Linked DNA regions of Drosophila melanogaster. The protein of the gene in region 1 interacts with the protein of each later gene in a pairwise test. Each region holds a gene or a part of one and is shown on either strand. Other genes may lie near its edges.

Region 1 (2,973 bases):
ACTATATATCAGAATGTACTAACATATGTTCGACCATTTCCCAACCGCAGTTACTATTATTTGCACCGCGAGTGTAAGCGTGCTTATGTGCGCACAAATACTCAATCTCAGACAGAGCAGTCATATAAAATGCAATTCACAAATGAAGATTCATGTCATTTTCCTCCGCTCTCGACGTCTGCAGGACATAAATCAATGCATCCTGACACAAACTGGACGTCCTGACTTTCGACTGCGGAAACGCACTTCGCCCGCTTTTCCAACATTTTCCATAAGGCAATTTGGCAAGCTCGTTAAATGATTTCAACAGGCTCGCCTGGCAAACTGTGAGTTTTGCATTTAAAGTGCCCCATTGCCATTCGTTTCACATTGCCATTGCCATCAAATGTGTCACATGAGCAAATTGTGTGTGCACAAGTTAAAACTCACTTAATTATCCGAATGACGCTGCGCAAATTGCAATTAAGCCTCGCACACTCACCTGTTAACAATTAACAACGCTAGTTTTGGTAACAACTTACATGGTAATCAGGGCTTTACCAATACATTTTATTTAATATTTTTTGTGAGAAATCTCTGAAGGAAAACCCAAAAGCAACTTCTATCTCTAACTAGAATTGCTTTTACTCTTGCGCTAGTTTTTCTATTAGTTCCGAGTGCCAAAGGTTTTCGAGTCGCTTTTGGTGATTTCGCTGAATGCTCGCGATTATCTCGCGGTTCCCGGAAGCCAGACGCAGTTGCTCGTGAATGGAAATATTTGGCAGTGGTTGGTTGAGGTCGGGAAAGTCCTCGAAGTCCATGTCATCTCCCAAAGATGCTCCGAATATCTTATTGTAGTTCGATGAGTTTAGTATGGGACGCTTGGCTTCGAATTGTTGTTCCTTTTGTTTGTAGGATGATACATATAGAGTACACATAAAAACTTGAATGTTATTTAATTACCAGGATATAAATATTCATAGCTGCGCAGTTACTTATTATTATTTGTCAGAAAAAAAACACGTTTTGAATAAGAGCGCATAATCATGGTAATAACATACACATACTAATTACAATAAATCAGCATAAGTGCTTTTTTGGTTAGCAAAAGTTGATTGAAACATGTGCTATGCACTTAATTATGGCTTGGTAATTTATTCGGAAAACTTCACTCACCTGATTTTTCCTTGTGCTGCAGTTGAAAAATATATTATCAAGATCCCTCCTGCGCCTATTGAAATCCTCCTCGCTCTCCATGGGATAGTCATTATAAACGATACCTACCAAATCACTCATTTTGCTACGACCTGACTCTTTTCACCAATTTTCCAGCATGTTAAACTATCGATGATAAAATCAAGGGCCTGCTGAGAGGCTTCGATTAACCAGGGCTACCAGCTCATTCGTGCAAAATGCATGTCCATCAATCCAAAACAAATTAGCACTGCCCACTCATCCCAAATTCAGCTAAAAGCCTTTTCACCTGACGAAATCCTCGGACCGAGGCACTCGATTATTTACGTACTAAATGCAGATAAAGTTCCGTTTTAAAGGCTTCTATGCGGGAATCCGGACTGCGGACTACGGACTACGGACTACAGACTACGGACTGCGAACCTTTCTATGCACTTTGCTGGCGGACCGAAAAATAAAATTTATTTACAGTTTCCCTTGCCGGAGGATGTCGAAAAACGGAAGCTAGTGGGCGGGGATTTTGCAGTGGGGGCGCGTTTGGGAAAACTCAGTCACGTTTTGTGCAAAATGGAAATGGTTTGGAATTTACGGCCAAATACTCGGCCAGCAAGTACTATAAAAAATGCGAAGGGCGGCAACCCTAATCGTCGTGAGGGACTGCTCTTTTTTGCCATTTTGCCATTTTCGGGTAGGCCTAATGAAATTTTCGCTTTATGGCAAGTGCAGTCGGGTGAATTGCAGCTGAAAGCCTTTCCTGTCAGCCGGGGAATGTTGTTTCGAAATCACATTTTTTTCGGGTCCTTTAATTTGAGTGCTGCACGGAGTGGTACGTACTCCCCCCCCCCCCCCCCACCAAACTTCCACACCCAACAACAACATAAATAAACAATGGCTGTAAACCAGCTGATATGCGAGCCGTTTTTACAGGCTGACCAAGTTGGTTGATGTTTTTTTCTTATTTTATTTTGCACCTCCTTGGCATTTTATTGCCGCCCTGCCTGGTTTTCCTGCCATTTCCGGTGCGTAAGTTTATTTGTCACAATGAAACGACACCAGCATGTCCTGCAAGTCGGAGAAGTCAGCTTGAATTGCGGTGGCAAAATAAGGGGACATGCGAATAAAGGATTTCCTTCTGCGGCCGTCAGCGCTTAAACTTTCATGGCTTGATGCTTTAAGTTTAAGTTGACTCAAGAAATTATGTCCTTGAGCCCATCTAGTAAGCAAGAAATGAAAAGGAACAGATGGGTATTGTATAGAGTTCTTGCTCCCTTTCGGGCCAAGATCTGTTCTTCAAATACTATTATTTGTAGCTTATTAAATATTCCTTTTTGCACATTTTGCAAAAGTTGCTGCCACTGTTCAAGGGAACAATGAAAAGTTCAACTAACCATGACTTTGGGGCTACAAAATGCCCGGACAAGCTGTACACATTAAGTTTCAACTTTGGCACAACACCAACACACTGACACAGGTGTGACCCGAGTCAACTACTACTCCTCAACCACCAACCCCCACCCCCTGGGGCCCATTACCCCCCACCCTCACCTCTGAACCCACAAACATACTAAAACACGCAACAAACCAAAGCCACCAACAAGTCAACAAAAATGGTTGCTCTTCGTTGGTTTGCATTTTCCGCTTTTGTCGACGCTTTTGCAACTTTTGCTGTCACTCGGTTTTTTTTTTTACCATTTTGGCCAGGATTTTAATTTCATACTTTATGCAGGCTGTTGGGGTATTCAAGCTGTTCCATAATGAAGCCAGCTTCTTCAGGCGGTTAAGCAGCGAAATATGACAAAA
Region 2 (6,012 bases), on another chromosome or scaffold:
GTTTGACTGCAGTCAGATGTAAAGCAATTTTAACACAAACTAAAATCAATTCGCTGAAGTGAATATGTAACTTGGTCCTGTACTCTGACTTTGAAACCGTGCCTGTTCACCAAATCTTTTATAAAATTAGTTGTTGAGCTTTTACTCTGAATATATAAATTTATTTATACACAGTATTATTGAAAATAAGTCCTGTTGTATTATCATAAACTTGGAGAATTATAATTCAATGGAATTTAAGGCGCACAATTTATAAATAACGGTTTGATTTTATTTTGTTTTCTTATTTTTCGGAAGAATTTTAAAATCTGCCCATGCACTCCCACTACCTGCGTGACGGATGATGATGTCGTAATGCTTCTTTTTAATTGGTTGGTACGAATTTAGGAGCACACTATAGTTGACATTTTCTTGGCAGCACTGTCACTTTCCTCCTAATTACAATTGACTTTTGGACAATTGATTTGGAGCAACCATTTTAGCTCCAACTCGACATGTTGTAAGGGGAGTATAAAATAGTTCCGTTAAAATTTAATTTAAACAAGGTGTACTCGTGTTACTTTCATTTATTGATATTGGAAATCTTAACTTTATTAATAATAATAATGTTAATTACAGTAAGGTAATTTGAAATTCCACATTGTCTGAATCGGTTGCTAATCCTCATTCTTTGATTTACTATTACTGTGAATTGAATTGGGTTACTGTCTCCTCTGCTTTAGTTGGTTCATAGTTAATAAAACAATATGCTGCTATATGGTAATTTTATCATATATATGGTTAACATGATGCTCAGAGCATCCAACACAAAGTGCCAAAAAGTGGAGGGTTTATAGCAAAAGGTACAGCAATTCGCATTCAACAAAAAACATGAATAAAAGTCGATTGTAAACGCTTAAGAACTAACTAAATCAATTGCCGCAGCCAAGACACAGTGGAACCTAGAGAGTACATAGCGTGGCAAATGGCAGTTAGGAGATGTTTTCATCCCACTTTACACTGAAAAAAGACCCCGCTCAAATCTCTTCTTGGGCCATCATAGCTGACCAAATCAGGGTGTAAACTTGAATGAGGCCAAGGATAAGATCTTAGAGATAGGGTAAAAGTAAAGCGTCGGTCAGCCACCAAAATTATCGGGCAAAATACATAGAGCATTGGTCAATGGAAGCTACCGAGGAATACATGCATATATATTTGCTTGCTTGTTCCCAACTTGGAGACTTGTACCATGTCACATACCGTGTGGATTGGTTTACATTGCTAAAAACTAACATTTAATTATCAATTTCTAGTAATTTCACAATTTGTAGCCAATAAACTTATAATTCGATCTAGGTAGCATGTGTATGTTTATGTTGGGGTTTGGTAGATACATATAGTTCACATAAATGACGACACTGGACAATTGTTTACTAGGTTTTCAAGCGGATTCAAAATGTATGTTTCTTGTGTACGTGTTTGCTGAGCCACGAACTACTACAAATATTAATTTTCGTTTAGGCATTGGTTGAGTTTAGTTTTACAGGACTGGGTTTGCGCGCATCTAAAATGAAACTATTTGACATTGCAATCGCTTGAAATGGTTTTTATAATTTTTGTTTTATTATTAAACATTATTGCCGCTGCTTTTTTAAATTAGAACATTTGAGTTTTTAGCTTATAAGAGTCTTATTTCTGGCTGCCGGCGCAACTAGCGGCTGCATCCATAGAGGACTTCCTAATTTTTTAAGTGAATTGCGTCTGCCTTCGGGATCGGGTGATCGGGCTGGGGACAAGGTGTAACTATTGGCCAAACAAATATAACTCAAAACTGCCCAGTATTTATGGGTTGCGAATTGTGTGCGCAGGGTGTATATATGCTGCTGTGCCGTGCCGTTGGCGGTGTTACAATTTCATAGCATTACAATTATCATAAATATTTCTGTTATTATTTAATTTAAACTTCTTTATGGTATTGCATATTTCTGTTACTGTAGTTTGCTGATGCTTTAAGCTGCGGTCGCCTACTAAACTGCTGCCGCTCGTTTTGTGGCTCCGGCTCCTGATGCTGCTGCTGTTCCTAAAGTGGGCGCATGGCTAATCGATGAAACTCTGCTCAACGCAGGCTTTCACACGCTTCTCGTACTCGCGCCGATTTTCTTTATACAGCTGGGCGGCGGTGGAGTTAGCCGGTGAGTTGGGATTGGGATCGCTCAGCAGTGACTGGAAATCAGAAGCATACACATTAAGCTATAGCTACTGGATCCAGAAGCAGAGTAACTCACCTGTATGGATGTTAATATGGCTGACACATCGTACGTGGGACTCCAGCGGTTCTGCAATATGTCCAAGCATATTCCACCATCTGCGTATACATTGGGATGAAATACTTTCGATACAAATCGAACCGTTGGCGGTTTGTTTGGGTACTCTTCCGTAAATTCTATGGTTAACTTAAATGTTCCGTCTTCGAAGGGTGTGTCGTGTGGACCAAAAATCACAGCATTCCATATCATAATATTATTATCTGTTGGAGCACCCGAGACACCCGTAGGTGGATCCTCTTGAAGTCTGCAGGTAAGTATCAAATTAAAGTGTTGTAAATAAATAAGTTAATGCATATTTGTTTACACAAATATACTATTTATTGTATAAATTCCAATTGAGGCGAAAATAAAAAACTCTACCTTAACATTTGCCGACTAGGTTGCAATGTAAAGCTAATAATTATTTTTTATCTTCTTGTTGTAATTGTCTTTAGTTAATGATCTTACGAACAATGTGCTTGAAACGTAAGTCTTTAATCGTCGCAAGAGTTGACGGTCCCGTGGACACCAAATTCTGCCTATTTGTATACATATTCCGCAACACAGAAGAAACCAAAAGCAACGGTCAGACATAGAGTGATGAAAAACAATCTAAAAGTTACCTGGCCGGGATTGGCTGCGATTTAGGTCAGCTAGCGGGCGGCGCAACCCGGTTAACCGCGCCCTTCAATCGGCTTAAATCGATACACGGGCCAAGTGAAATCATCGATTAAACAAGCTAAGAAACGCGACAGTGCACTGGGAAATAAGATATGCAATATCCAAGTCTGAAGCATATTTTGAAATTTATGAACTTGAAAGGTCAATTTTGGGCGGTAATACGAGCTATTAAAATAACTTGTTGAAAATGTTCATAATTTATTTATAGGTATCCAATGATGTGTAACAGGTATTTTCTAATGAACTCTTATCAAAAACTAGACTTCTAAAATGGAGTCAGTTTCGATTCGCATTACGATTTGAATATTGCATTCCTGATGAAACATTTTCGCAAAACAGAATTTGTGTTTCTCAAACTAATCAGTCCCGAGTACTCAATAACTATACTAGATTCGGACCCCACAAAGTATAAAATTGACGATGTTATTTTTTATTTTAGTTTCGAAATTTCCACTTCGAACTCGTTCTAGCTGAGTAAGGGGTATCTGATGTATGCTGTCAGATATGCTTCTGTGCAGTTGCTCTGCCTCTTGGGGTGGTACATTGGAACTTTGCCGGGGGGCAGGAGCCCGCGCCCACGCAAACAGCCTTGACATTTGGTTTCGTATTCCTCAACTGCAATCTGCACTGCAGCGCCAACTTTCGGGATGATGAAAGTTTCGAAGCCGAATGAAATTCCAATAGGAGCGCTTCGTCTCTTTCGCGTGAGTCAACAAGGCTGAGTGCGAGCGAGAGGGGGTAGCGGGCAGGATGCAGCTGCCGAGTCAGGCGGATAGAAACGTTAATGTTTTGCTGCGACGCAATTTCGGCAACGGCGGAAGAAGAATGTTGTTTGGTTTTCCCAATTTTCCCCTTTGTTTTCTTGCTTTTACCCCGCACCGCGCGCGAACACACACACATTCAGATCAAAGTCAAGTGTCAAAGACAAGCGAATTGTTGTTTTTCGCACGAGCAAAGCAGCGAAAATAATCAACCACTCACACACGCACACGCACACGAGCATGGGCACATGCACACGTACATATTTTGGCTGCGCAAACTTTTCCACTACATACAGACGTGGAGCACAGTCATATATACGTGTGTCCGTGTGTTTGCTTATATGTATTGGGCAGCCCCCAGGTTTCTTTTCCCCAGCATTTTTTCGGAACGAGAAACACGTAAAACGTAAAATCCAACGGTTGTGTGTACTTTGCCATTCGCTCCTTGCCTTCCTGTTTTCCTTTGCTTTCGTTTTGTTTGTATTCTTTTCTATTCGCATTCGATTCCTTAGTTTCTTCTCACCTTTTAAAATCTCTCATAAGACGTCTGCGTGCGGGTGTTGACATTTTTCACAGCGATACTACCACTCGTGTTGTGTTGGATTTGGAACTCGGACGCCTGGGCAATGCGTTGCGTTTAGCGAACGGTAACGATGAAATTTTGTAATTTATTTTTAATTGAGGGCAAACTCGGGCAGCAGTGGTATAGAGCTGGAACGAAAACCGATGTTTCCCCGATACTATCACGTAGAGCTGGAGCTCAAATCAATTTCGTTGCACAGAGCTGCCACCCAGCCAGCATTGAGCGTAAATATGAGTTGCCAGAGGTTGCCAGACCATTCAAAATACGTTTCCTATTGATGTTTTTTACGAATAGGAGTTTTCGAAGTGTAAGTTTAACACTGCAGAAAACTGATCGAAGTATTTGTAAACCAAAATTAATTTGAACTTTAGACAACCTGGGTCCGATTGCAGAAAAATTTTACAATTGAGCGACATGGCAAAAACAAGAGGTATTCCTCTAAAACAGGTGACTCAAGAAAAATAAGAATTCTATTGAATGTCTCCCTTTCTTTCGTCCTTGCTAAAAAAGCTAGTTACGTTTTATCATATTAAATATTAGTATAAGCAAACATAATTTTATGGTAGTTCCAATAATATTTATAAACTGAAACTACTAAAAATGAAATGAAAATCAAAACACCAGTTTTGTACCAAAGTTATGATATCTAAGAAAAGCAAGATAAAGCTTGACTATCAGATACCCGTTAATCCAACTTGGATTGCGAGGAGATGAAGATTTAGAAGCCGGAAAGCGACTCTTGACCAAATCGGCCAAAAATTTTATTGTGGGCGCGGCATACCGATACAAATCTGCAAGACTTACATACATACATATAATAAAGAAATAATCCAAACGTTTTTCAAAATCGTAATAGTTATGGGCGGCTTGTGGCCAAGCAGCTTAGCTGCTCCCGTTGATACTAAGAAACGGGTATCTGGTAGTCGGGAAACTCTCCCAACAACGATAATCAAGACATAATTTCCTTTGACGCATTCAATTTCAAATCTATTTGCGTAAATTTCTAAAATTTATTATTGAATATTTAGGGACTAATTATAACAAATCGAGTGTATCACAAGCTTAGATTTAGCCTAACTACAGTTAGCAAGATTATTAGACGGGGAAAAGCTCGCTGTAGGTGAAGTTCTCAAGGATTTTGGTCGTGATGACCAGAAACTTGGCCTCCAGGGCGCGGGCAATCGGTGCGATCAAGTCGTTGGTGAAGACCTCGAAGTTTTGGTTGATCGTATCATTGATGACATCGCCCAGAACCTTGTCTCCGTTGAAGAGGTTCTCCAGCTTCAGGTTTCCCTTGCCAGTGCGGATCTTCAGGACGAACTCCTTGACATGCAGGTATTCCAGATCATTAACACTCTTAATGTCGTACTGGACGCGCACATAAGCCACAAAGTTGGTGAAGTTTCCAGTGAACGGCCCATTGCCCTTGATCGGCAGTGCCAAAATATTGCCGTTGATCTCGTAGAGCCCATCGCCATGGAGATGGGGCAGAATCAACTCGAAGTCAAAGCGTCGGTTTTGGGTGGAAGCCCGCAGCTTGGTGATCTCAAAGTTGGAGGCGCCCAGGATGTTCAGCTTCTTGGCTTTTACCGTGAGCCCGGCGGATCCATCCAGAATGCTCAGATCTCCAATGTAGAGGGGCTCTAGCGGCGGTACGTTCAGTTCCTTAATGCCCTTGGCCAGATAGGGTCGCAAGTTGTGA
Region 3 (6,096 bases), on another chromosome or scaffold:
AAGGGTCAACCCAGTGCGTATTCCACATGATATTCGGCTTTCATTTCACTGCAGCAGTTCCTTCGCGACGGATCGCGCATAGAGGCCGGCTTTCGCCGATACTTCCACCGCGCCTATCCCGACCAAGAGAAGGAGAGCTATACCCTGATCGTGGGACACGGCAACGTGATCCGCTACTTTGTCTGCCGAGCCCTGCAGTTCCCCGCCGAGGGTTGGCTACGGATTAACATTAATCACGCTTCCATCACCTGGCTGACCATCAGTCCATCCGGCAACGTGTCCATCAAGTACCTGGGCGACTCCGGCTTTATGCCCGCCGAGCTGCTTACCAATCGCATACCGCGCGACGTCAAAAACGTGGTTTAGCCGTCTGTTTATAGAACTGCCCAAAGGAGAAGCAATCATAATGTATTTATTTCCAACACTTTAACTGAGACCTTGAGCACAGATCGCGAGACTGTGTAAACCACCATGTACATTTTGCCGCACCGTAACGTATATCTCTTAAGGAGGAATCATTGAATCTTCCGACTGAAATAATAAAGATTTTATAGAATGCCTAACATTTTATTGAGAATCCTTATATGTACAAAAGAAGCCATGAGGAGCCTAAACCCTGCTCAAGACCTTTTGGAGTCGCTGCAAGCACTTGCGTATGCCCACATCTTCTCCAGCGCCGCGTTTTAGCTCCACCTGCTCTGCCTGCTCCCTTATAAAGGATAGGATGGGAGCCACTAGATCCGGCGCCAGCTCTGCCAGGTTGATCAGCATCTGGAAGTAAAAGTAAGTGCAGTGGGCCAGGTGCTTTTCGGCGAGGGATCGCAAGTGATTGGAGCACATATCCCTGACCGCCTGTGATCGCTTGTAGGCATCGTGCGATATAAGCACTTTATAAAGTCCAAACACTTGGTTGCGACTGAGGTCCACTTCGTCCACGAACATTACGTGTTCCAGCAGCGGGATGTGCACGCCGCGCAAAACGGTTAGCAGCTGTTCTTCCTGCTCTTTGCCAGTGCTCTCTATCAGTTGCTGCATTATAGTGATCACCAAGCCCGCATGCTGTCCTGCCCTCCGCCGCTGGACCACCAAAAACTGGGTAACGAGGAGCTGAAGCACAAACTGCGCCAGCTCTCCATCTACATCCGCCTGGAGGAGGGTGGCATATGGACGGGCCACCAGCTTGGCGTTGGATGAGAAGCTAAAGTGCGGCGTCCAGTGCTGAACTAGTTGCTCCAAAGTCTTGGCCACGTATGCGTCCGTGCGGTAAGGCAGTCGACCAATGCCTTGCAGCAACACTGGGAAAATCTTGTGAACCACTTGTGGAAGGCGACCTTCGGGCGGCACTCCTGCCTGCAACTGCGTGGTGAGCAGGAACCGCACCATGGCCAGGTGGAAGAAGCAGCTCGGCTTGGATCGCACGTACGCTAGAGTGGAACAATTATAGATGACAATGGCTAGGAAGCTGTAGAACCGGGAACCGAGTTCCGATCGGCTTCGATCCGGGGGTAGCCATAGCTCGAAATGATTTACATAGGCATGCAGTTTGTGGCTCAACTGCATACGGACGTGGGCAGCAGCCTCCTCTTGCTGGGCACGCCTTCCCAGAGCTCCAAAGAAGGCGCAGAGAGGCTCGCGCCCGCCCTCCAAAGAGGTGGGATCAATGGCCAGAAGTCGGAACTCCTCTAGCTGTGTGACATGGGGCATTAAAGCCAATACAGATTCGTGTTGTGCGTTTAGGAGGACCAGAGACTTCACCCAGACCTGAAGAATGGTGGAGCTGGCAGGTCGCCCTCCGTCTTCCAACACCTGGAGCAACAACTGAGCAGAAGCAGCCATATTGATGGGTTCTGGTCCCTGCAGGAAGCCCAGTAGCAGTTTGTCCCCATTATTCTCCAGGGCGATGAAGTTAGCCGCTAGCTTTGGAAGCCATGAGCTATGGCTACTAACGTATTGGGTCCTCACCAGTGGCATTATGTGCTGTTGAAGTGCCTCCTTGATGCCACTCGCATTGCCAGCCACAGCTCTCCGCTCGCTGAGACGGAGGATTAAATTGTGAAGCGTCTGCCATACGCGATCCTGCGATGCCTGCCCACACTTTTCGACGTAATGTGCCAGCCATGGCCCGAGAAGCTGCTGCTCGCCGCGGTTGAAGTCATCCGCCAGATTAAAGATGGCTTGAAGGCTGCCCACATAAATGGCGCCCACCTCTGCATCATTGCGAATGGTGGCCAACTGGTTGAGCAGCTTGCTCACATAGTCATCCATAGATAGGCGATGCTGGGCATGCAGAAGCAGCAGGGCCATGTGTCCCTTGGCCACGAGAATCCTTCGCACCGGAGGCAGTTTTTCCAGGGCCAGGCAGAGCAACATTTCGCGCAGCTTGGGCGCCAACTCGCTGAGATCTTCGTGGCAGAGCAGCAGGCACAGAAACAGCTCGATCACATGGTGAATACCAGGCTCATTCAGAGCCAAAAGTTTCGCGGCACTAAACTTGCTGAATATGCGGCCGAGTAGTTTCTGACGTTGGTTGCTTCTGCCCTGCGATGGTAAAAGCTTCAAGGTTTTGCCCAGCATCCACGCGTACATGGTGAAACTGCTCAGATTCAAATCTTCTATATGCGACTTAGACAGCAGTTTGTTGTAGCGATCGACGTAGGCCGACCCATTGGAACAGGTAAGCGGCAGCTGATCTAGCTCAGTTCCCACACTAAAATTGCAGTTGAGGGATCGGTGAAAGTACTCCCACAGCTGGCACAGGACATCAGTATCCGGCTTGCCCAGCTGCAGTTGAAGGGGAGAGAGTTGAATTAGGTAGACCCGCCGCTGCTGTTCGTCCGGCTGGCTCGCCAGAAATTGCTTAAGCAGACTGGCAGTTTGGAAGCTTTCTGGTGCCGCAGTGAGCGGCGAGTGATCCGGCTGGTACCAACCCTCACTGTTGTATTCGTCCAAGCGGGCCAGTCCTAGCCTCAACCAGGAATAGAGTTCGTGGTATGCCAGAGAAATTGCATTGCTCTCACCTCGAGAAGAAAAACGACTATAAGATGAGGGGAAGCCGCACGGTCTAGCTTCTTTGTGCACTCACCCTGGAAGTGGAGTGACTTGTGCCTCTGCATGGCCTTGTGGAATAGAGTCCAAAAGTCTAGCTCCCGTTCTCCCAGCCATTTGGGAATAAGACGTTTCAGCAGCAGCCACAGCTCCTTGTTGCAGCGACACATGAACGGCGAGGAATGGATGAGCTCCGAGCGATGTTTGCTGCGGTAGTGATGTCCAGCACAAACGATCAGATCGTCGAGTGTGCGCTCCAGCTGCCCTAGGAACGCTTGATCATTCCCAGAGGCGTACAGTATATGCAGGTCCAGAAAACGCCACTCCAGTACGCCGTGATACAGGTGATACGCCGGCGCCTGGCAGTCGTTTCCCTTGTTGTGCTCCGCAAAATACAAAACCTTCCAGGTATCCGCATCCAGCTGATCGTTGAGCAATTGTCGAAACCCATCAAGAAAATGTGAAGGCAGCAGCTCATTGCCTCGTAGGAGCAGCATCAGATGGTAGAAGTGTGTGACCTGCTGGCGCACTCTATACCAACCAGAGTTCATAGAGGCGGCCGTGGCCTGCAGGTGTTGCTGGCCCATCACGACGGTTAACAGCTTCTGCACATTCTTACTGAGAATGGAAGAGTTGTACTTGTTGGCAGCTGCCAGGGGAGCTCTAAACTCACCAGGCCTCGCCGTACAGGTAGTTTCTTACCGCGCCAACCGCTAATTGAGCCGGAGCAAAGTCAAAACAGAGATAATCCAGGCGAGAGCGGGGCGGATCCAATTGGGCGTAGCCATTCCCCAGAAAGCCTCCCTCGCACAGTTGGCTCTTCAGAGTGTCTCGGCCACTGCAGTTGAACTCGGGCAAGTGTAGACCGTCGACTAGGTCCTCTTCGCTATCGTCCACGTCTATTTGCGCGCTCAGGGTTTCCTGCTTCTGTGTCGCCTGTATGAAGGTAGCCAGGATCTCCTCGTCATCCGACTGAAAAAGGTCGTAGTCCATGGTGCAGTCGGGGATTTGGCGTTCGAAACCAATTCTCTGGCGGATAAGATTTTGCGCGGCGATATATTTTATTATTATTAGAGCGCTGTGCAACACTGTCACAAAGCCGATAGCTTCGATAACGGCCGATAAACAGGTAATCTTTGTGACATTTGGACTTTTGTTTTGGACCTGATTTGGCCCCTTTTCTTATCGTTGGTTGCCCCAGTTACGTAGCATCTCCACTTCGAACACCATGTCTTTCCGCCCATTGGTCGAGGGCGACTGCGGTGGAGTTAATCCTCTCATGCAACTGGGCGGACAGTTCACCCGCGATGTTGCCCACAAGGATGAGGGCTATGTGCAGCGACACTTCGAGCGCGCTGCTCGTCCCGAGGACCAGTTGATCAACGAGTTCCTGGGACAGGTCACTGCCCCACCGCAGTCATTTCAGATGGACACTCTGCTCCAGGAGATGCGGGACATAAATATTCACGGAAATCCGCAGCAGCAGATGCACTCTCAGCAGGCGGAGCAGTGGGGACAGGACTTTGCCCGCGGACTGGCACCCGCCCTGCCCAACAAGATGATCCACATGCAGGCACAGCAGCAGGACCTGCAGCATGCCCAGGAGTTCTTCGACGAGCCCCTGATCAGTAGCCAGAACTTTCGGTCCCTGCCGCCATTGCGTCAGCCTTTGATGCCCATTGCGGCAGGACAGCAACAGGACCCCTTCTTTGACTCCGCCATGGAAACTATAATCACAGATCATCTGCCACAGGCGCCACAGGGGGAATCGCTGGACGACTGGATCAGCGACTACCAGCGCAGCACCGAACAAAAAGAGCAAACCGCCGCCAACTTCAACGAAAAGTTCTGGGAGCGGCTGCAAGACGAGTGGCAGAAGCTGGCCGACGAGAACGAGCATCCGTGGCTGTCGGAGTACAACGACAATATGGACGCTTATAAGGAGTACGAGTTCGCCGAGGGCAACCCCATGTCTGATGTGGAGAACCCGTTTGAAAAGGGTAAGGAGTACCTGTCCAAAGGGGATATACCCAGCGCAGTTCTATGTTTCGAGGTGGCGGCCAAAAAGCAACCGGAGCGCGCTGAGGTCTGGCAGTTGCTGGGCACTTCGCAGACAGAGAACGAAATGGATCCCCAGGCCATTGCGGCACTTAAGCGGGCTTACGACTTGCAACCGGACAACCAACAGGTCCTGATGGCCCTGGCCGCGTGCTACACCAACGAGGGCCTGCAGAACAACGCCGTGCGCATGCTGTGCAACTGGCTGACAGTGCATCCCAAGTATCAGCACCTGGTCGCAGCCCATCCGGAGCTGCAGGCCGAGGGCACTTCGTTGGCTTCGTCGCTGATTGGTCCGAGTAAGCTGCGCGATCTGCAGCAGATCTACTTGGAAGCCGTTCGACAGCACCCTTCGGAGGTGGATGCCGAAGTCCAGGATGCCCTCGGCGTGCTCTACAATCTATCTGGGGAGTTCGACAAGGCGGTGGACTGCTACCAGTCCGCTCTGCAGGTGGATCCCCAAAATGCGAAGACATGGAACCGATTGGGGGCCAGTTTGGCCAACGGCTCGCGCTCCGTGGAGGCGGTGGAGGCTTATCAGCAGGCGCTGCAGCTCCAACCGGGCTTCATCCGTGTGCGTTACAACGTGGGCGTATGTTGCATGAACCTTAAGGCCTACAAGGAAGCTGTGGAGCACTTACTCACAGCGCTTACCATGCAGGCTCACACTAACGCCGCCCGAGAGCTGCCCAATGCGGCGATGGCGGCTACCTTTAGAGGACAGAACCAGATGTCCGAGTCTATTTGGAGTACGCTGAAGATGGTCATTTCGCTGATGGGCCGCAGCGATCTCCAGAGTTATGTGAGCGATCGCAATCTGGCGGCTCTTAATGAGGCCTTTAAGGATTAACCGCCCCGCAGCTTCTTTATCACTGCTTTGGGAAAGTCCGTTGTTGTCGTGTCATGTGGGTGTGTAAGGTTGAATTTGAGATATTTTTTACTCTGGCAGTGTAATCATTCCCTCTCGGTTCTTTTCTGTAAATTTGTATATTT

Evidence for each region.
Region 2: the proteins of CG17650 (region 1) and Ubc6 interact in a two-hybrid assay, tested with the Drosophila melanogaster proteins (one large-scale study listed by BioGRID).
Region 3: the proteins of CG17650 (region 1) and CG14803 interact in a two-hybrid assay, tested with the Drosophila melanogaster proteins (one large-scale study listed by BioGRID).

The regions. Positions count from the first base shown.
Region 1 is NT_033779.5:1,757,778-1,760,750, forward strand, and holds CG17650 (uncharacterized protein), read right to left. Parts: upstream 1,317-2,973; 5' UTR 1,276-1,316; coding exon 1,156-1,275; intron 882-1,155; coding exon 624-881; 3' UTR 509-623; downstream 1-508.
Region 2 is NT_033777.3:4,948,203-4,954,214, forward strand, and holds Ubc6 (ubiquitin conjugating enzyme 6), read right to left. Parts: upstream 4,481-6,012; 5' UTR 4,295-4,480; coding exon 4,251-4,294; intron 2,551-4,250; coding exon 2,265-2,550; intron 2,203-2,264; coding exon 2,077-2,202; 3' UTR 553-2,076; downstream 1-552. Other genes in the region: Jhbp3 (juvenile hormone binding protein 3), read right to left, coding at 5,406-6,012. UniProt on the Drosophila melanogaster protein: E2 ubiquitin-conjugating enzyme that accepts ubiquitin from the ubiquitin-activating enzyme E1 and transfers it to a E3 ubiquitin-protein ligase. Required for postreplication repair of UV-damaged DNA.
Region 3 is NC_004354.4:1,866,865-1,872,960, reverse strand, and holds CG14803 (uncharacterized protein), read right to left. Parts: upstream 4,039-6,096; coding exon 3,719-4,038; intron 3,664-3,718; coding exon 3,083-3,663; intron 3,018-3,082; coding exon 610-3,017; 3' UTR 553-609; downstream 1-552. Other genes in the region: Pgam5 (phosphoglycerate mutase 5), read left to right, coding at 55-366; Pex5 (peroxin 5), read left to right, coding at 4,037-4,174, 4,247-5,953. UniProt on the Drosophila melanogaster protein: Involved in recombination-dependent repair of stalled or collapsed replication forks.